Linked DNA regions of Nothobranchius furzeri. The protein of the gene in region 1 binds, or shares a complex with, the protein of each later gene. Links are inferred from orthologs where the notes say so. Each region holds a gene or a part of one and is shown in the gene's direction. Other genes may lie near its edges. The genes, in order: gemin4, strap, gemin5, gemin2 and snrpg.

Region 1 (4,014 bases):
CCAGATGGACAAAGACAGAACACAGAGAAACACCATCAAAGAACCAGAACTGGAGCTGTTGGCATTATGGAGTGAAACTAACTGACCTGATGTAGTGAGCATCTGTCCATCAGTGATGGGAACCCAGCTGAGGTAGTCCTGCTTTCCTGGTGGAGGCTGGTCAGACGGGTGTCTGAGGAAGCCGAGCACAGTGAAAAGGCCCTGGTTGTGTTTGAGAGAGACGGAGAACCAGTGGTTGTACTCCCTGGCCTTCTGACTGGGCCAGTGGACATAGATGCCCTGTGTGCTGTATCTACGCAGCTCACACTCCAGCTGTTCTGCCTCCACTCCCTCCACATAGTGCCGCATGTCCACCTTGGACCCTGCAGCAGAACACAGAAGAGTAAGGTGCAACCGTTGTCAGGTGTGTAATGGTGACCTGTGTCAGGTGGCTTACCTGTGACCTGAAAAGTGATGGTGCGTAGATCTACAGGAGCTTCTCCTGTCTGACCAAACTGCAGCACAGCATTTCTGGGGATCCGCTGGGTCTCTCTATGTCCTTCATTGTTCATAATCACCTGTTCATCTGTGAAGTGACAGGGCAGCCATAGTATCTGCTGGCTACAGTAGACCCCTGGAGACAGACCAACAACTCAAAGCAGCTGATCCGAGTGGGCTTCCTCCAAAAACACAAACTGTCCCCACACTCGCAGGGATACAAGCCTTCTGAAGACTTACCTGTCCAGATAAAACCGTAAATAAGAATCCTGCAGGGTGGAACCATGGTTATTCATCAGATCTACTGATCCTTGTTCCTGCTTCATTCAGCTGCACATTTATTCTCAGAACACTTTCGCTTTCATTTACAACGAAAAAAAACCTGCTTTGCATGCAGCTGCATCACGTGACGAGCAGAGACAGTTTCACAAGGAGAAATACTGCAAAACACTTTTAAATGTCACTAAAAGCGAGTAACGTTTAAACCATCACACGTAGGGCTGAACCGGTGTTCCGGTCTGGCGGCAGCACTGGTGAACGCGGTGTCTAGTCAACAACGCAAAACCTCGCAACAGTAAAAACAAACCAGTCAACAATCCAACAGAAAAGGCGAGGAAAACAACAACAACAACAACAATAACAACAAGGTGAAGCAGGTTTGGCGGTTTGCTGGGTTAATGCGGCTGCAGTACCGTATCTATCCAGGGGTGGCGCTGTGGGGACGCCTCGCCACCTGACAGCAGCCCGGCTTCCTGCTGGAAACCGGAAGCGCCTTTCCTGGTAACGAACTGGTTCACGAGGCGGGCGGGTGTATGTTCCTGCCTCCGCAGCCATGGACAAAGGTAATTATTAATGTTAGACATGTCTCGTGAACTTGCGCGAGCTTCGTCTCCAGTCGGTAGAGACGAACATGGCGCTAAACGCTCAGGCTGAAGCAGCAAGCTGCAGGTTTGAAGAGCCCTCTCCTAGCCAGTCGTTCGTTCTGGACCTGCTTCACCTGCAGCCTGCCCCCCCTTCACACACACACACACACACACACACACACACACACACACACACACACACACGCACACACACACACACACACACACACACACACACACACACACACACACCTGGATAACGCTGATCTCGGCCCAGCTCGGGTCTCAGCCTGTTGCTTGCCTGTTTTTCAGATTCCGCCGTGCTCCAGGGAGCTTTCCTCCAGGCAGACAAACTGTGCCTCCCCTCATCCCTGTCCCTGATGCAGAAGGCGGACTGGAGTCGTGTGAAGCTCCCGATCCTGCAGGCCCTCAGAGACACCTGTGGGCTGAGCGCTCTGGCCTGGCAGAAGAAGGTTGTTTGTGTGGTGTGGTTGAAGCTGATGAGCAGTGAGGCTGAGGAAGATGTGGAGAAGGGGTGGAGGGACAACCCTTTCTTCTGCCTCCAGAACGGCCTCCCTGACGTAAGCCGGGCTGTTCTGCTGGAGCTGGTGAAGTCACTCTCAGCTGCGCCGGTCTTTGCCCGCTTGCTCCTGCGTCTGCCTCAGCAGCAGATCTGCACCGAGCTGCAAACGCTGGCAGAGCATCTGAGGACGGATCCCAGTCCTGAAGACGTCTGCTTTCTGTTGGAGGTGTGGTGGGAGCTGTGGAAAGGCAGAGACAAATGTCAGACGCAGGAAGACAAAGACTTAGAGATGATGTTTGTCAGCCAGTTTGCACGCCTGTCCTCCGATTGTCCCAGTGTCTCGCCTCAGGCTGCAAAACGCTTAAAGCTGGACCTTCCTGCATCGTCAGCAAACACAGACGTTCTGCACGTTCTCCTCCATGCTCTTAAGAACATGAAAGATCAAGTATCTACTACAGATTTGTGCCTGCAGTCCCTGTTAGTCTGCCTCGACGCTCTTTACACATCCTTCCTAACAGACCCAGAGGTTGTGCTTCCAGTTGAAGAGAAGTTGCTCATCCTCTGTAGGCTTGTTGACACCAGAGGACAGACGCAGGCGTGGAGCCCCAAACTCCTTCAGGAGGCTCTGAGAGACCTGCGTGCTGCTCACTCACCAGCTCCTTTTCAGCCCAGCAGGATGACGCTGAGCCAAGCTTTGAAGATCGTAGCAGAACTCACAGAATTCTGGCTGGAACAGGATCTCCTGAGCGCTCCTGGCTGCTCCGCGTTCCTGCTGCAGCAGAGCGTCCAGAGAGTCCTGGCAGCTCTAGAAGAAACGGGAACATCTGAGCATGTGACTGAGAAGAGCACACTCAGAGGTCTGCTGAGTTCACTGTCTCTTCCTGCCGTAGAGACCCCCCCTCAGGTGCAGGCTCAGGTCGCTGCCACCGTCATCAGTCACCGCCTGGAGGACTGTGAGGAGTTTGCTGCGCTGTTTGCCAGCCAGTTGTCCTGGACTCATGAAGAGCTGTGGGTGGACTGCCTGGAGAAGAACCACACGGCCTTCACGCAGCCCAACACCCTCATCAGCCTCTCCTCCACCCTCGTGAGTCGCCTGCAGCGTGGGAACGTGAACACCACCTGGTGCAGGAGAGCCATTAAAACGGCTGCAGATGTCTTCTCTGCTCTTTCGTTAGAAAACCAGAACAAGGTCCTCGCTGCAGTACCGAGCCGCTCCAGCAGGGGCTTCTTTGGCTGCTCTGTCCCCTCGGCTGTGGCAGACGGCTTTGAGCAAGAGCTGAACATGGCCTTTAACTGCCTTATCCAGGGAGGGGGCGGGGCCTCAGCAGCAGTGTCCCAGGGCCGCCTGACCACAGCAGCCTCTCTGGTAGCTCGAGTGGCCTTTCAGAGCCCAGAGGCGGCTTTAAGGTCCTGCTGCCACGCCGCCGTTTTCAACAGGGGAGCCTTCAGCCTCATGGCAAAGATCCTGCAGCAGCTGCCTGGACTCCGCGGACGGAGGGGAGGGGAGGATGAGGCAAACGGAAACGATGTGGAGCAGCAGGAAGCTGGAGGGCGTGGTAGTCTGTTCTGTAGGTGTTTACAGACGGCGGTCAGAGGCAAGCCACTGTCCGCCTGTGAAAAGGAGCAGCTCCTCAAGTTCCTGTCTCTGCTCATGGCGCCGGGCCCGACGCTCCAGGGAGAGCAAGAGACACAGAGGTTCTTGTCTCCACAGGAGGTGGTCAACACACTGGTCCTGCCTCGCCTCTCAGCTGCAGGTCGGGGTCCATGCTGGCTTTAATCTCATCTGTGTGTGATCTGTAAACGCTCGTCACATTCTGCTGCTGTCCCATCTGTGTTTCTGCAGCTGAAGAGTCCTGCGATGCAGAACTGAGTCTGCAGCTCCTCCACGCTGCTTTGGCTGTGGGTGTCCAGGAAGTAGCCCCCTCCCCTCACTGGGTGTTGGACTGCTCTCCCTTCCCCCTCCTCTATATTCTGGCCCAGCAGTACAACCAGACTCTCATGTGTGTATGATCCCGTGTGTGTGTGTGTGTGCAGCGGTTGTTGTTGGGCTTCTACTCATCTGATCTCTGTTAGGTGCTGGGAGCGGTCGTCGGAGGACAGCGACCACCTGAGCTCCATGGACACCAAGGAGCTGCTGGAGTCGGTGCTGAG
Region 2 (4,250 bases), on another chromosome or scaffold:
AAAACAGTCCGGATATTGCAATGTAACTCTTAGAGACACTCACTTTTGAACTAGGGATACTAGCACCGAGTGGGAACCCCCCCCCCCCCCCCCCCCCCCCAAAAAAACTACTCTTGAGAGATAAGCTAATATTTATTAAACACATAAATAAACACACACACATCTGGGGAGGGATTTTCACAGACTCTGGCATTCTCCGTTCTCACACCTGAAAGTCGGTGAAGAACATCTGTTTTATTCTGCCAGACCCATAGGTGCTATACTCTTCTCCAAGGCCAGATTAATGCAGAAACAACTTTATTGTATTTATCTATTTGAACTAAATTAATTAATACACATGACCTGCTTAGAGGCTTGATGGTCTTCTGAACTGGTATCAGCCATCAAATCAGGTGTGCTGGAGCAGGGAAACAACTAAAACATGCTGGATGGAAGAGCTCCAGGACCAGAGATTGAGAGAGCACTGCCCTGAAGACACCAGGATGTAAATCATTTGATGATTAATCCATACGTGTTTCTATTTCTACAGTACAGAATATTGCTATTTTTACCTCCACAGACAATGTTATAAATGTGGCAGGGTGGAGAAATGAGGGCCCGGGCGGGATTTGATCCCCAGGCTCCTGGGTGAGAGTCACGCACTCATACCAGTCAGCCAAAAGGACATCCCCTATGTCAAGTAGCCAGGGCACATGATCAATCGTGACACTGTGACAGGACACTCACACTGTCACATACACTGATCCTTGAAATTAAAGTTTTTGAGACATAAACAGCAGACTGAATAAATACCTGATATAATGTAGTAGGTGGATTAGAACCAGACTGGGTTATTTTGTATTTAAAGTGTAAAATCTGGATCCAACAAGCTTATTATGGGTCTCTGACTTCATGGTTTTCTACTGTAGCCTGGCCTGCCATACTCCTCCTCTGTTTAATTCTGCACAGAGTCTGGCAGGCCAGGCTAGTCCTACTGTAGAAAAAAAATGAAATGGGGAATATGAAAAACTGATCAGACTGTTTATAATACCGGGAAAATATGATATATGTATTTTGAGAACTAATAATAATAATAATAATAATAATAATTATTATTATTATTATTATTATTATTACTGACTACATTAATGCATATTCTAATACTGCTGTGTCTAAACTTTATTTTTCCTGCCACTTTATTTCATTCCAAAGCAGCACAATTCATTCCTGCAATATTCCAATTTTAAATCCCAGTTTTCCAGACTACAGCTCAAACAGCTCCCACTCCTTCGCACAGTCATATATGTTCGCCAGAAGAACGGGAATGTTGTATCTCTGTCGAGAACTTTTAATCAGACTCAGCTTTCAGCTGTGTGCGCTTTACCAAATGACTCTGACAATATGGCGGCGACGGGTCGCACCGCACGCTTACGTTACGTCAACTCTTTTACTACACTGTCACTGTGACGCTGCAGTGCACGTTGCTAGTTAGTTGCAATGTTGTAGCTATTAGCACGACAGCCATTCTTTTGCTGGGGGAGAGCCGACATTTGGTCAGAATAACTTTGAATTCTCGGCTGTTAAAAGATTAATTAACAGACAACGGCAGGACGTTACAGCTTTGATAACAACGCGCCAATTAGACGTTTCGTATTCCTCGGCTACTGGTTAGCCGACCTAGCTTGTAAGCCAGCCGTTAGCGACCAGCTAACTCTTCCTCTTTCGGTCTTCTGTCCTCTGTCCAGCTGGAGGAGCATGGCGATGAGACAGACCCCTCTCACCTGCTCCGGTCACACCCGGCCTGTGGTGGACCTGGCTTTCAGTGGAATCACTCCTTTTGGCTACTTCCTCATCAGCGCCTGCAAAGGTGAGTCCTCAAGCCGTCCAAATCCAAGGTGCTGCCCTGCTCAGGATCTTCATTTACCTGTCTCACTCACACAGACTTCTCTCACTTTGGTCCCTGACTTACCTGCGCCTCAAAAGAAACTTTGTAACGATTTATTTCAGATGTCTTTTTTTATGAAAATCCTATCTGCATTACTTGAATCACCTCAGATGTGTTCAGTTCACGATCTGGTTTCATTCTTTGAAGAATCACATTTCTTTCACAACTTTATATAAATACAAATTTGTCATCGTGTAGGAGTTTTCCTCTGTGTTCACCTACTTGTTTCCAAGCAAAAAGTGGAGATAATTTTTACCTGAAAAATTCTCTTCCATTACAAAAAAAAAAAAAAAAAAACAGTAAAATCATCACCATTCGTCTTAGGCTTCCCTTTCTGTCAGAATAGCCATATGACCCTCACCAAGTGTTCTGTCAGGGAGTGAGGGAAACGGGAAGGTGAATACCATGGCGAAAGTAATAAGCTACTGATGGTTACCATGGTGCCCCTAATAAGCCTCTGCTAGCAGCTTTAACATTTGTTGAGTTTGGTCCTCTTTACACATTCTATATAATTTAAGGCAGTGGCTGTTTCTCAGTGCTTAAGAGGACACTGTCCTGCAAGGATTAAAGAAAACGGTTACATGGAACAGACTTATCTCACGTGACCCGCCATCACGTCATGTGACATGTGAGGTAAAGTTAGATTTATATATATGTATAACTAGCCTTTAACTTTTTTAAATTATGTATATATTGGTTAAATTAAATATGTAAGCAAGTTACTACCCGCTTGCCACCGAATCTGCAACTGCAAAGCAACTGACCAACCATAGATAATTGCTTTGAATCTAAAAAAATATTTCAGATATCAGCCTGATAGCTACAATTAGTTGACTTGCATTTAAACTGGAAATTTGCCCCTGAAGTAGCTGCCGGCTCCTGATCCGCCATTCATTTGAAAATACTGTGGTGTATTCTGAGAAATGTTTCAGTCAGAGAAGGCAACAAGACACCTCCCATGTATTCTCAGTCAGTTAGCTAAACGGCGGACAAACGAAGGACAGACGCCTCTGTAGCACATGAACATTGGAACACGTCTTGGCGGTTCCTGATGACGTATCTCTTAGGCAACTGGGCTGGGACCAAGGCATCAAGGCGAGGTTCCTTGACCTTGAGAAACACCCAGTTTCTCAGCTCAGATTAATACAAAACTGATTTTTAACATTTTACACCAGCTGCTTGAAAGCCACTCAATGTCTTGAGAAAGTTCATATTAATGATCTTTTCATGGGAGTTTTAACAAGTACATCACCATCCCCTTCTTCCTTTTGTTAGATGGCAAGCCCATGTTGCGCCAGGGAGACACAGGGGACTGGATCGGAACGTTTCTGGGTCACAAAGGTGCGGTTTGGGGAGCCACTCTGAATACAGACGCCACCAAGGCAGCCACAGCTGCTGCAGACTTCACAGCGTGAGTGGGGTTCAGCTCTCGATGTAGAGATGCATGATTTGAATTTTGTTGGAAAATGCACTTTTTTCTTGTTTTTAACACTCTTAAAACGTTTAGCTGTAAAAACAAGTTGTCTTTTATTAATAATATATTCTCTTTCTACTCCCCTTCACTCACACACTCTGCAAATGTGCGTTTGGACTCATTGAGATTGTTGGACATACATATTTCAAAAAGGAAGTAAACTGAACCACTGAAAAAGAATTTCACTATCCCATTTACCAGACAAATCATAGCTTCTTAACTTTTTTCTTGTTCTTTATGTGTTATCTTAGAAACCTCAAAACAGAAAAATACAGCAAGTCACTTGGTGCAAGTGGTGCACCTAGGTGAAAGAAGATCAACTGTTACAAAATGAAAAAAAAAATACAAGATCACTCACAATCTCCCTCAACCTTGGGCTCCATGCAAGATCTCACCTTGTGTCATAAAAATGATCTTGTTTTCAGAGTAACTCTTAATTTTAACATTTCAGGAAAAAAAAAAAACGTGTTTAAATCATGCTAAAATTCCCACCAGCAGCATCCTCAAAGTCCTGGTGAAGAAAAACGATCTGTTTTGCATGTGTTTTAAAAAAAAAGAAAACCAACCTTTCTTTGTTTCTGTTACGTGTTTTCTATTAAATGTTTAGTTTCATTTATTCGATAAACTACTATACATCTAGCCTAGAATCTAGAAGACAGTCATTTGTCGAAGCAAAATAATTGTGCATATAGGATGGCTTGCCAGGCTACTATAAATCTATAATGGTGAACATTTTGCTTTCCAGGAAGGTGTGGGATGCCGTAAGTGGAGACGAGGTCCTCTCACTGGCACACAAGCACATTGTGAAGTCTGTCAACTTCACTCAGGTCAGTTTTGCTTAGCATCAGCATC
Region 3 (3,511 bases), on another chromosome or scaffold:
CCGCTCAACTAACATAATTTACGGCCCAAATCCAACAGAACCGGTCGGGCTGATTCGATTCGGGTTTGGTCTCAGGTTATAACTCCAGCGCTCAGCACCACCGCCGTTAAAATAACACAACTACATTCCACTATAATTGATTATGGCACTCTTCTGTGATGCAAAACCGTTTATGCCCGCATCTCATGCATTGATTATTTGATTATTTTCCTCAGCTCTGTCCTAAACCTCCCGGTCGGGGGTGGGGGTGGGCGGAGCCACAAAGAGAGGGCTTGCGGGCCGGACGTGGCCCGCGGGCCGCCATTTGCAGACCACTGCTCAAGGGCAACATGCCGATTATCACTTGTAAGCCGCTTTGGACCAAAGCGTCTGCTAAATACATGAACATGAACATAATAATAAAGAGGGAAGCGAACATGGAGTGTGCAGTAGAAACAGAATCAGACACGCTGGATGTTAACGTTCTGATCCGTTTTTCCATAGAGAATCCTCCAGAGGAGCCGGCGGTTCTGACCGAGTCCTATCGTCGGTTATCCGGCCACACGGCTAAAATCACGGGGATGTCGTGGAGTCCGCATCACAGCGGCCGGCTGGTCACGGTCTCCTACGACGGCACCGCCCAGGTCAGCAGCTGGAAAAGCTGCACGGAGACGTTCCCGCTTGGAACGGCTTTCTGCTCTAAGCTTGTAAAAGTTCTGTTTGGTTCTGGTTCCTGCAGGTGTGGGATGTTCTGGAGGAGGCTGCCATCTCCAACTACCGCGGTCACAACGGCTACCTGCTGTGTGTCGACTGGTCACCCGTTGACCCAGATGGGATCTGGACCGGAGGGAGGGACTTCACCGTGCACGAGTGGAAGGTCTCCAAACAGGAATTCACCAAACCCCCCAAAGGTACACCCGGATTTGGGTTCTGGTTCAGATCCAACAGACCAAGCCAGAACTGTCTGTGGTGTCATCTCAGGAAAGAAGAAGGTCATGATGCAGGAGAAGCGGGCCCGTTCCAAACAGCAGAAGAAAAAGAGCAAGAACGGGTCCGGAGGAGCCACGGCGCCGAACATGAACGGAGATTCTGTTGTAGGAGTAACCATGACGACTGAGAAGGAGCTGTCTGAGGACGAGGAGGAGGTCCGATCCACACAGAACCAGGAGGTGACCACAGGTAGAAACAAGTCGGTTCTGGTTTCAGTGGAAAAAGAATTTCATTTAAACTTTAGTTTAAAAATGATATTTTAAAAAATTCTGTGGAAAAATAAAAGAATTTTTTTCTCTTTCAGCAAATTTTGAGACGCAAAAAAACTCAATTCCTGCTGCGAAAAGTAAAGAAAAACCAGGTTTTTGTCTGAACTGAGGTCCCAGCTGGGTTCCGGCCCAGTAGACTGGTTCTGGTCCTGATCAGCAGCTCTTGGTTTCTCCAGATCTCCTGGTTCTGAAGAAGAAGAAGGCCCGCTCCATGCTGCCCCTCAGCACCTCCATGGACCACCGGCCCAGAGAGGAGCTGCTGCAGGACGTCCTCACACTGGCCTCCGTCAGACACCCGGGGGGTGCAGGTCTGTAGCCGGGTGGTGCTCGCTGCTCGTGGTCATGGTGATGCTTTTACTGAAGGCAGGAGGTGTGTGTGTGTGTGTGTGTGTGTTCCAGCCCCTCCTGCAGGCTGTGTCCCGGGTCAGGGGGACCACCTCCATCTGGGCCTGTTCCACGACCGACCGGCGCTGTACCGCATGTTCCAGGCAGAAGGTCGGTTCTTCCTCCTGCTTTTACTAACAGGAACGTTTTTCATGCGTCTGAACTCCACTTCCTGCTCCTCAGAGGACGCCCACATCGAGGCAGGTCACTACGACTCGGTGGTGTACCTGCGCCTTTGGACTGGAGACCTGGAGGGGGCGCTGCAGCTTGCCACAGAGAGGGGCGAGCTGAACGACCACCTGCTGTCCATCGCCCCCATGGGTAACAACTGAAAGCCCTCAGACCCAGAACTTCTCGGTGCTGGTCGATCGAATCTGAAAGAACTTTGGTTTTTACATTTAAAGAGCCTACAGGTGCTGGCCAGTAAATTAGAATATCATCAAAAGGTTGAAAATATTTCAGTAATTCCATTCAAAACGTGAAACTTGTACATTATATTCATGCAATGCACACAGACCAATGTATTTCCAATGTTCATTACATTTAAATTTGATATTTATAGGTGACAACCAATGAAAACATCAAATCTGGTATCTCAGAAAATTAGAATATTCTAAAGGCCAATGAAAAAATGTTTGTTTCTCTAATGTTGGCCAACTGAAAAGAATGAACATGAAAAGAATGTGCATGTATAGCACTCAATACTTAGTCGGGGCTCCTTTTGCCTCAATAACTGCAGTAATGCGGCGTGGCATGGACTCGATCAGTCTGTGGCACTGCTCAGGTGTTATGAGAGCCCAGGTTGCTCTGATAGTCGTCTTCAGCTCCTCTGCATTGTTGGGTCTAGCGTATTGCATCCTCCGCTTCACAATACCCCCTAGATTTTCTATGGGGTTATGGTCAGGCGAGTTTGCTGGCCAATCAAGGACAGGGATACCATGGTCCTTGAACCAGGTGCTGGTGGTTTTGGCACTGTGTGCAGGTGCCAAGTCCTGTTGAAAGGTGAAGTCTGCATCCCCATAAAGTTGGTCAGCAGCAGGAAGCATGAAGTGCTCTAAAACTTCCTGGTAGACGGCTGCATTGACCCTGGACCTCAGGAAACAGAGTGGGCCAACACCGGCAGATGACATGGCACCCCACACCATCACTGACGGTGGAAACTTTACACTGGACCTCATGCAACGTGGATTCTGTGCTTCTCCGCTCTTCCTCCAGACTCTGGGTCCTTGATTTCCAAAGGAAATGCAGAACTTGCTTTCATCAGAAAACATAACTTTGGACCACTCAGCATCAGTCCAGTCCTTTTTGTCCTTGGCCCAGGCGAGACGCTTCTTGCGCTGTTTCTTGTTCAAGAGTGGCTTGACACACGGAATGCGACACCTGAATCCCATGTCTTTCATGAGTCTCCTCGTGGTGGTTCTTGAAGCGCTGACTCCAGCTGCAGTCCACTCTTTGTGGATCTCCCCCACATTTTTGAATGGGTTTGTCGTCACAATTCTCTGCAGGGTGCGGTTATCCCTAGAGCTTGTACACTTTTTTCTACCACATTTTTTCCGTCCCTTCGCCTGTCTGTTAATGTGCTTGGACACAGAGCTCTGCGAACAGCCAGCTTCTTTAGCAATCACCTTTTGTGTCTTGCCCTCCTTGTGCAAGGTGTCAATGATTGTCTTTTGGACAGCTGTTAAGTCAGAAGTCTTCCCCATGATTGTGGTGCCTTCAAAACAAGACTGAGGGACCTTTTAAAGGCCTTTGCAGGTGTTTTGAGTAAATCAGCTGATTAGAGTGGCAGCAGGTGTCTTCTATATTCAGCCTTTTCAGAATATTCTAATTTTTTGAGATACCAAATGTGGAGTTTTCATTAGTTGTCACTTATGAATATCAAATTTAAA
Region 4 (4,201 bases), on another chromosome or scaffold:
CATATATAATGGATTGATCAGATCAGTATTAGATTATGGGTGTGTGGCATATAATTCAGCAGCAAAAACTACTCTTTCAAAATTAAATTCTATCCAGAATCAGGCACAGAGACTCTGTACTGGAGCATTTAAAACAACCCCAATAGCAGCGTTACAGGTAGAGACGGGTGAGATGCCAATAGCAATCAGACGAGAACGAATAGCTTTAAATTATTGGGCAAATCTTCAGGGTCAGGAAGAAGATCATCCAACACGAGACATACCAAAACCTTGCTGGGAGAAAGAAAAGAAGGAAACAACAAGTTTTGGATGGGTGATGATCAAAAAACCAGTAGAACTTAAATGAGATCGGTTTACAATCAGTCAAAGAGTTCCATTACCTGCTGTTCCGCCATGGATTCTTCCTGAGGCGTCTGTTGATTTATCATTATTAGAGAGAAAGAATATGGATAAGTCTTTCATACTAAACTCACATACAGCACAGGATTATATCGATCACTATTATAACTATGTAAAAATTTATACAGATTCTCGCAATCCTGTTAGCAGTTCGATGGGTGGAAGAAAACAGACCATTATTCTCAGTTATTTGTTCAGACTCCAGCTCATCATTAACCAGTTTAACGTGCAGCCATTCAGGAAGCAGACCAGACATACTCCTAGAGATTCAGCAAACACTTTATAGAATAAACACGATGGGACTTAAAGTACATTTTTTATGGATTCCAGCTCGTTGTGGAATCAGTGGAAATGAAGGAGTCGATAAGATGGCTAAGGAAGCTACAATAAATACTTCGGTTCAGTTAGATGTTCGATTTTGTCAGAAAGAGATGAAGAGCATAAAAAGGCGAGAAATGAAGAAAAAATGGCAAAAACAATGGGAGGAGGAAAGGAGGGGAAGATGGTTGTATAAAATTCAAAGAAGAGTAGGAGAAATAAGAAACACTGGAAGGAGTAGGAGAGAGGCGGTGATCATTTCTAGACTGAGGTTTGGACATACTGGGTTAAACAATACGTTATTCATGATGGGGAAACATAATACAGGGAAATGCGATTATTGTGGAGAAGAAGAAACTATAGTTCATGTTATATTACAATGTCGGAAGTATCAGGCAGGAAGAAGGACATTGATTCAAAATCTTAGACAGATCAAAGTGAAACTAGACCGACAGAATTCAAAAAGCGACTGTTTTCTGATTTTATTTCAGTTTTTAAAAGAGATAAGGATGTTTGGGAGAATTTGATGTATATATGTATTTGTATATATATGTGTATGTATGTGTGTGTATATATATGTATTTTTTTGTTCTTTCTTTCCCGTGTTTGATTTTGTTTTATGAGCGCTGTTCCAGACCACACTCCACACCAGTTGGTGGCGGTAATGCACCATTCGTTGTTCGCCAACCGCCAATAAAACACCAGAAGAAGAAGAAGATGGCGACTGTGCTGTAGTGAAACTTGCGTGTTTTTCATTACCTGATTCGGTTCCGCTGTTCTTTTACTTTATTAGAACATGAAGTCGGACGTGGAGGAGTTAATGCCGAGGCTCCTGCCGCTGGAGACCGGAGGCGGGAGCGGAAACCTGGACTTGAGTGGAACCCCCAGAAACCCCCAGGAGTACCTCCGACAGGTCCAGTATGTTCGAGCCGAACCGTCTCGAGAATCAGAACCATGTTCGACCACGGAGCTTTATAAGTTTGGTGTTTCATTAGGTTGGAGGCCTCTTTATGCCCGGAGGTGGTCGTTGCTCAGATCGATCCCACAAAACTGAAGAAGCAAACTGTTAATGTGTCGGTAAGTGACACACACACACACACACACACACACACACACACACACACACACACACACACACACACACACACCACATGTTTAACATGTTTTGGTTCCAGGTAGCAGGATGTCATGCTGCTCCTCAGGGCTTCTCCCCCAGCCTCAGGTGGCAACAGCAGCAAGTCAGTAACTTCTCTGACGTCAGACAGGTGAGACTTCACAGTAACACACGTTACGAACATGTCCACACAGTAACACACGTTACGAACATGTCCACACAGTAACACACGTTACGAACATGTCCACACTGGACAGTGTCCTTTAGTCACTTTTGTTTCTCAGAGCATCACCAAGAACAGGCAACACTGGAGGAGCCAAATTCTGGATGACAACGTGCAGATGGTGAGATTTTTATTCACTACTCAAACCGAAATCAGCATTCTTTCAAGGGGAGACAGAAATCCCATGTTAAGGTGGATTTGAAGCACCTGTAAGAATCTTGTCATGCAGCATCACACTGGAGGTTTGGTTTATGCAAGCTTGACGCTGGTGTCTTACAGCCGAGGCTGACCGATGAGGAGGGCTGGAAGAGGTTTTGTTTAGGGGAGAACGTTTATCAGGGAACTTCATCCGGCCCGACGGATGCACACCAAGAACCAGCATTGGACTACGGCAAGGTTATACAACTGTTTACACCTTATTGCCTTTGTGAGCGCTTACTCCTCAGAATGAGTTTACCTGATTTAAATCGATCAAAGCTGAGATGTTTCCACATTCTACTTCTCCCACAAAAGCAAACAATCTAAACAGATAAAGTGTATTTATTTAATCCTTTGATGATCCGCCACTCATGAAAATTCTGTGGCACCTTCATGAGACCAAGGAAGTGAAGTCTCACTGATGGTTTGTTTGGGTCTAGATTGGCTTCCCTCCCTTCCTGAGCATCGTAAGCAGACTAAACCAGGTAAACGGGGGTCTACGATGACATCCATGTTGTTTTTAGCCAGTTTAACAGTCTTAATATTTTTGTCTCAGTCCACAGTTCTCATGTTGTTAGATGTTCTGATCAGCTGGTTTGAAGAGCGAGAGTTTGTTCCACAGCTGGTGAGTTTGCTTCTCGTCTCCAGCTGGTTGACAACAAATCTAATGCTAGTGGAAATATAGTTTTTTAAATTTTCGCACGAAAATAAATTGTTAGAACTCCAGGGCCCTCATTCATCAAACAAACTTATGCACAGATCTGCACGTAGGAACAGTTTTACACACTGCATACATGTAGCGACATGAATGGCCATATTTGTGACCCAAAGGTCACACTTCCCCAGCTAGGTCACGCTGTCCTGGCTGAACTTCTGTCCACAGATTATCCATCACAGGAGACGCACAGTCTTCTAGAACCATCTTTAATCTGACTGCCTTTAATCTGTCTGCTGTTCCATCCTAAGATGAAGGACACTTCAAGATTTAAAATAATCATTTTTAATAAACTCTTTTCACTGTTTATTACAAGGTTCATAAATAATCATCACGGTTCATTATAAATGTATTTAATTACTGAAATGAATTATTATTCTTTGGTTAATAATTATTATTTATGATAATCAGTAATGTTTACCAGTGTAAAGAAGGTCATGTACACTTATACACACCATGCAGGACACTGAATTCAGGGTAAAGGTAACCACCTCACATGTCTTTGCTCCATAACCAAAGCTTTCTATCTCTGAGAGGGCGTGTTCTGAGTTTTAATAAAACCCAAAACTCCTCAGTTCAAGCTGACAGTTCTGAACCAACCAAAACCTCTCCGTGGCACGAGAGTCCCAGAGGACAAGGGTCGGCCGCCCGAAGCCTCCACTAAGCTGTTCTGTCACGCTGATAGAATCGCTCCGAATAAACGCCACCTGCACCAGCTGACACAAAACTCCTTCAGAGTTAAGACGCAAACTCAACACCTGTGTGCCAGCGGCAACTCTTGGACCAGAGAGTCGGTACCACTCGCGCCTTCCCTACCGGACCGAGTACCCAGAGGCTGACAACATCCTTCCTTGACCTCCGGATCCACACAGAGGGTCGCCTGATGGGTGAGGTAGAACACAGATTGCGTCTGATGCTGTCATCTCTAAGAAACAACTTAGTTAGCTGCAAAACAAACTCTTTCACCCAGAACGCGTTTCTCTCTGAAAGAAACCTTCTGAGATTCCAGTCACACATCCAACACACGCATTTCATTTTAGCTTTCATCCAGACACAGGTTTGCTTTTAATACCAAGTTTTAATATCAAAGCTGTTATAAATTGTCATCTTTAAATTGTTCGTTATAAATTCTTAACTTTTTAAACCTGACTCTTCTTTGAAATGAAACACAGAATGGTGTAAATTTGGTTATTGAACGAGCAAAGATTCCTTTAAATATTCCGATTTAATAAAT
Region 5 (4,125 bases), on another chromosome or scaffold:
GTCAGTGCCTCTGAGGCTGGAAGTCACAATATTTACTCTGTGTTACCCTTGAATGTGCATCATTTGGGAATATATTTGTTTTTGCTTAGTCTTAAACGTTGGCATATTTACTTCACCATTTGTACAATCCTTTTACATCATTCTTTGTATTTATTTTCCAGACCACACGGAACCACAGAAATGTACAGATGTCCATACTTCAACTGTCATTAAATACGTAAAACTGTCTCTCCGTGCCCTGCTCTCTGACCGGAGCCCTTATCTTGAAGATACTGTCAGATCAGCAAATAACTTCCAGAGTTCCCACTCTATCACATTGTTACTGGTCAGAATAAAGGTAGTGATGTCATTGTTACTGGTCAGAATAAAGGTAGTGATGTCATTGTTACTGGTCAGAATAAAGGTAGTGATGTCATTGTTACTGGTCGGAATAAAGGTAGTGATGTCATTGTTGGCGTCAGGCACTATTCCGGAAGGGCAAACAGGTTTTTGACCGCTGTGGCATGAAGACGTTTGAATGGGAAAGTAATCGGATTACTCCTATCATTGTTACATCCTGGAATGCAATCAACATTAAACAAGAAGCATTATCATAACAACTCCACGCTTAAGGCTGTTCAAGTAATTTAGTCAACATCGGATCAACACAGAGCGTCAACCAGGTCCCGGTCTAGCAGCCTCAGGAGTTCGAGTAATGGACTTGACTTCTACAGTTGCCTTCTTGAAATCACAATCTGGTTTTATTGTGTTCTTAGATATTGGTTGTGGGCTTCCATGAGTTTTCATAGTCAAACTTGGTTTCACTGAATTTTATTTGTTGTTTTTTACTTTGTCAAAAATAGCTCTTCTTCCTGTTATCTGTTGAATCTGCTTAATTTTAACTATACTTTTTAACTTGATGAGAATTTACAGAAATGAAAGAATAACTTTAAAGATTAGGTTAAATTGTGTAAATTATACAAACTGCACAACAGATTTCCATCCTGGAAAAGAAGAGAACGAAGTTGAGCTGACACTGCTGGGAGCTAGGGACTCCGGTCTGACAGGTAAAAATCAGGCAGCACAATGCATCTCTGTCGTTCAACAGCAAAATAAATGGTCAACTGAATACAAACAATAAGGTAGAAGGAACATAAAATATGCACTTATTAACATCGTTTTACATTTCAAATACATTTCAGTATAATATGTAATACTTACGTTTACTTTTGCTTTTTTGTAAGATTGACAATAAAATTGTAAAAGTTGTTTGAAACAAAGTGTTCTTGCAGATATTTGCAGATCCAACCCTAACACGTTCTCCTCCCCGCCTCGAGGGGGCGTAGTGGGACTGTAAACGCTAACTGCTTCACTTCCGGTCACATTTTCCTTCCGCGGTTTTGTTCAACGTAACCCCGACGAGCTAGCTCACCGGACTTCGGTACAAAAAACGATACAGAATGAGCAAAGCACACCCGCCAGAGCTGAAGAAGTAAGTTCACGTGTTTAAAAATAACAATTAGAAATTATTAATTTTGTTTCCACGATTTTAACGGAAAGAACGTGTTAGCCTGTTAGCTTTGCTCCATTCTTTACCATGAGGCTAACATTAGCAACCCTGCCTGAACTGTGAACCACCGTCGCCTGAAATGTTGTTTTATGTTTCAGATTCATGGATAAAAAGCTTTCATGTGAGTATGGCGTTTTACGAATATGTCTTTAAAGCCCCTATTGTGATTATGAAGAGTTTATAGTTTTAAGGTGCTAAAACATTAAAACCACGTGACGGAATAATAATCGATTGCATTTGTGTTGCGCTTTACATCACGACAATCTCAACGCGTTTAGAGGAAAGGAAAATGTTGATTATGAAAGATGAAAAGCTTTACTATAAAAGATCTACTAGAGAGAAACGTTTTCAGTCCTTCTTAAAAGCCGCTTGTAGGTTGGGGTGTGCTTAAACTCTCAGGGTAGGGTTAAAGGTTAGAGGGTGGAGGGCATTGTCCTCCGTGGTGCTCAGCCTGGTCTGGGTCTATGAAGCAAGTCTGACAAAAACCAGCAGATTTAAAATCCATCTAAGTCAAATCAAAAGGCTGAGAAGGGTTGGGAACACCAGAGCAGAAGGTGCAGCACGAGGAGCAACGACTGACAGGAAGATGAATAAAGAGACCAGAGATGGGGCACATCTGAGCTCGCGGGGAAGCTGATTTCATCTGTGTGCAGCATCACCCTGCTTGGTTCTGACCCGGTGCAGCTCAGGTCTGAATCAGTTATGAGTCTTTGTCCTTTAGCTCTAAACTGTAATTCTATCTGTGTGTGTTGTAGTTAGTGTTTTATCATGTCCTGGTGACTGTAAAGCACATAGGATTGCCTCTGTGTTTGAAACGTGCTCGAGACATAAAGCTGCCTTGTCTTCGTTCCTCTGGAGCCGAGCTGAGCAGTAACGTCCATCCTAACCTTCTGATTCCCAAAGACGATAACTTCAGTCTCGTCTTTGTTAAACTGGAGGAAGTTAGACTGCATCCGGTCGTTTGCTTGCCTCAAACACTGACAGAGTGAGTCTAGGGATAGGCAATTGTGAGTATACACATGCGCAATAATAAATATATTTCTTTGATAACTTTTAAGAGATCATTCTGTTGGTGTAAAATCATTTTTTAGGCATGTCAGCTAATGTTTGGTTAGATTTTAAATGTTTGTATTTACTTTTGTTTATTTAGCTGCATAATTGGGGTAAATAGCTTGGTTTGCAGGGGTTCTGTGAAGATTGTGCAGGGTTTTTCCTGCATTCAAATTAGAGCTGAGGAAAATAATCGATGCATCGGGATGCGGACATAAATCGTAGAAGAGTACGCCGTAATCGATTATAGTGGAATGTAGTTTTGTTTTTTTAACGGCGGCACCAGCATCTGTCAGAGTGAGCGTCCTCCACATTTACCACGTGGTTCCGCCTTGATGTGGTACTGCATTGCTGAGCGCTAGAGTTGTAACCTGAGCCGGAACCAAATCAGCCCGACCGGTTCTGTTGGATTTGGGCCGTGAATTATGTTAATTGAGCGGGTTGTCATGTGGCGCGCTCCGCTCGATCAGAGAGAGAGACTGTCTACTCACACGAGAGGATCGCAGGACGCTCCTCTAAACCGATGCTCCAAACACGCGTTATTGTTTTCATAATTTCTCCTGGAAGCGCTCAGTCAGACTTAGGGATGGGTACCTTTGACATTTGAATCGATCCGGTACTAATTCCCGGTACCTAGGAATCGATACCGGTACTTAACGGTATCAATTTTAGATACTTTTGAGTGTTTATTATTTTAATTCTCTTTTATAATTAAATATATATTTTTCTCAATATATAACCATATTTGATAAATATCACGATAAAAAACATACAACTGTTTGTATTTTAACATGGTCCTTGTAGTTTTATAAGCTGATAATTAAACTGAAGCAAACGTCTTTACTGTGAACTAAATTTACTGTGTATCTTCATTCCTTTTGCCGTCTTTTTCATTTGATTTTTCCTACTGGGAAGTTAGAATTTCCGAGGAGAAAGCGAACGCACCATTAGCTGATAACAATAGTAGCAATGGAAGCTAACATACCAAGCTAACGTTATCTTTAACAGTTTATTTAGCTGCTGGAGCAGATTAAAACGATGATGCCTCACACTTAGATCGTTGTCGCTGGTTTCATCTTCACCCAATCACCCGTCGCATTTAGTAAAGTGAAGCCAAACTTTAGAGCGCGTTCATGTTATTCCAGTCGGAAATTCGAAGTTCCGAGGAGAAAGCGAACGCACCATTAGCTGATAACAACGGTGGCAATGGAAGCTAACATACCAAGCTAACGTTATCTTAAACAGTTTATTTAGCTGCTGGAGCAGATTAAAACGATGATGCCTCACACTTAGATCGTTGTCGCTGGTTTCATCTTCACCCAATCACCCGTCGCATTTAGTAAAGTGAAGCCAAACTTTAGAGCGCGTTCATGTTATTCCAGTCGGAAATTCGAAGTTCCGAGGAGAAAGCGAACACACCATTAGCGAAACGGAAGCTAACATATCGAGCTAACGTTATCTTAAACATGTTATTTACCTACCGGAGCAGATTAAGATGAGGATGTCTCACTTAGATCGTTGTTACT

The links.
Region 2: gemin4 (region 1) and strap share a complex: the UniProt entries of both Homo sapiens proteins name them as parts of the SMN-Sm complex. The link is inferred for Nothobranchius furzeri from reciprocal best matches to the Homo sapiens genes GEMIN4 and STRAP.
Region 3: gemin4 (region 1) and gemin5 share a complex: the UniProt entries of both Homo sapiens proteins name them as parts of the SMN-Sm complex. The link is inferred for Nothobranchius furzeri from reciprocal best matches to the Homo sapiens genes GEMIN4 and GEMIN5.
Region 4: gemin4 (region 1) and gemin2 share a complex: the UniProt entries of both Homo sapiens proteins name them as parts of the SMN-Sm complex. The link is inferred for Nothobranchius furzeri from reciprocal best matches to the Homo sapiens genes GEMIN4 and GEMIN2.
Region 5: gemin4 (region 1) and snrpg share a complex: the UniProt entries of both Homo sapiens proteins name them as parts of the SMN-Sm complex. The link is inferred for Nothobranchius furzeri from reciprocal best matches to the Homo sapiens genes GEMIN4 and SNRPG.

What each region holds. Positions count from the first base shown.
Region 1 is NC_091753.1:62,516,146-62,520,159, forward strand, and holds the start of gemin4 (gem-associated protein 4), read left to right. Parts: upstream 1-1,213; 5' UTR 1,214-1,309; coding exon 1,310-1,319; intron 1,320-1,652; coding exon 1,653-3,617; intron 3,618-3,706; coding exon 3,707-3,863; intron 3,864-3,936; coding exon 3,937-4,014. Other genes in the region: dhrs13b.2 (tapasin-related protein), read right to left, coding at 87-362, 437-613, 718-763. UniProt on the Homo sapiens protein: The SMN complex catalyzes the assembly of small nuclear ribonucleoproteins (snRNPs), the building blocks of the spliceosome, and thereby plays an important role in the splicing of cellular pre-mRNAs.
Region 2 is NC_091741.1:63,716,493-63,720,742, forward strand, and holds the start of strap (serine-threonine kinase receptor-associated protein), read left to right. Parts: upstream 1-1,439; 5' UTR 1,440-1,734; coding exon 1,735-1,846; intron 1,847-3,199; coding exon 3,200-3,335; intron 3,336-4,143; coding exon 4,144-4,225; intron 4,226-4,250. UniProt on the Homo sapiens protein: The SMN complex catalyzes the assembly of small nuclear ribonucleoproteins (snRNPs), the building blocks of the spliceosome, and thereby plays an important role in the splicing of cellular pre-mRNAs.
Region 3 is NC_091750.1:72,365,789-72,369,299, forward strand, and holds part of gemin5 (gem-associated protein 5), read left to right. Parts: intron 1-483; coding exon 484-623; intron 624-718; coding exon 719-890; intron 891-960; coding exon 961-1,158; intron 1,159-1,273; coding exon 1,274-1,330; intron 1,331-1,414; coding exon 1,415-1,546; intron 1,547-1,637; coding exon 1,638-1,733; intron 1,734-1,805; coding exon 1,806-1,943; intron 1,944-3,511. UniProt on the Homo sapiens protein: The SMN complex catalyzes the assembly of small nuclear ribonucleoproteins (snRNPs), the building blocks of the spliceosome, and thereby plays an important role in the splicing of cellular pre-mRNAs.
Region 4 is NC_091758.1:40,480,316-40,484,516, reverse strand, and holds the start of gemin2 (gem-associated protein 2), read left to right. Parts: upstream 1-1,392; 5' UTR 1,393-1,513; coding exon 1,514-1,635; intron 1,636-1,712; coding exon 1,713-1,794; intron 1,795-1,892; coding exon 1,893-1,982; intron 1,983-2,088; coding exon 2,089-2,175; intron 2,176-2,333; coding exon 2,334-2,450; intron 2,451-2,692; coding exon 2,693-2,737; intron 2,738-2,808; coding exon 2,809-2,877; intron 2,878-4,201. UniProt on the Homo sapiens protein: The SMN complex catalyzes the assembly of small nuclear ribonucleoproteins (snRNPs), the building blocks of the spliceosome, and thereby plays an important role in the splicing of cellular pre-mRNAs.
Region 5 is NC_091755.1:44,512,078-44,516,202, forward strand, and holds the start of snrpg (small nuclear ribonucleoprotein G), read left to right. Parts: upstream 1-1,318; 5' UTR 1,319-1,439; coding exon 1,440-1,471; intron 1,472-1,647; coding exon 1,648-1,670; intron 1,671-4,125. UniProt on the Homo sapiens protein: Plays a role in pre-mRNA splicing as a core component of the spliceosomal U1, U2, U4 and U5 small nuclear ribonucleoproteins (snRNPs), the building blocks of the spliceosome.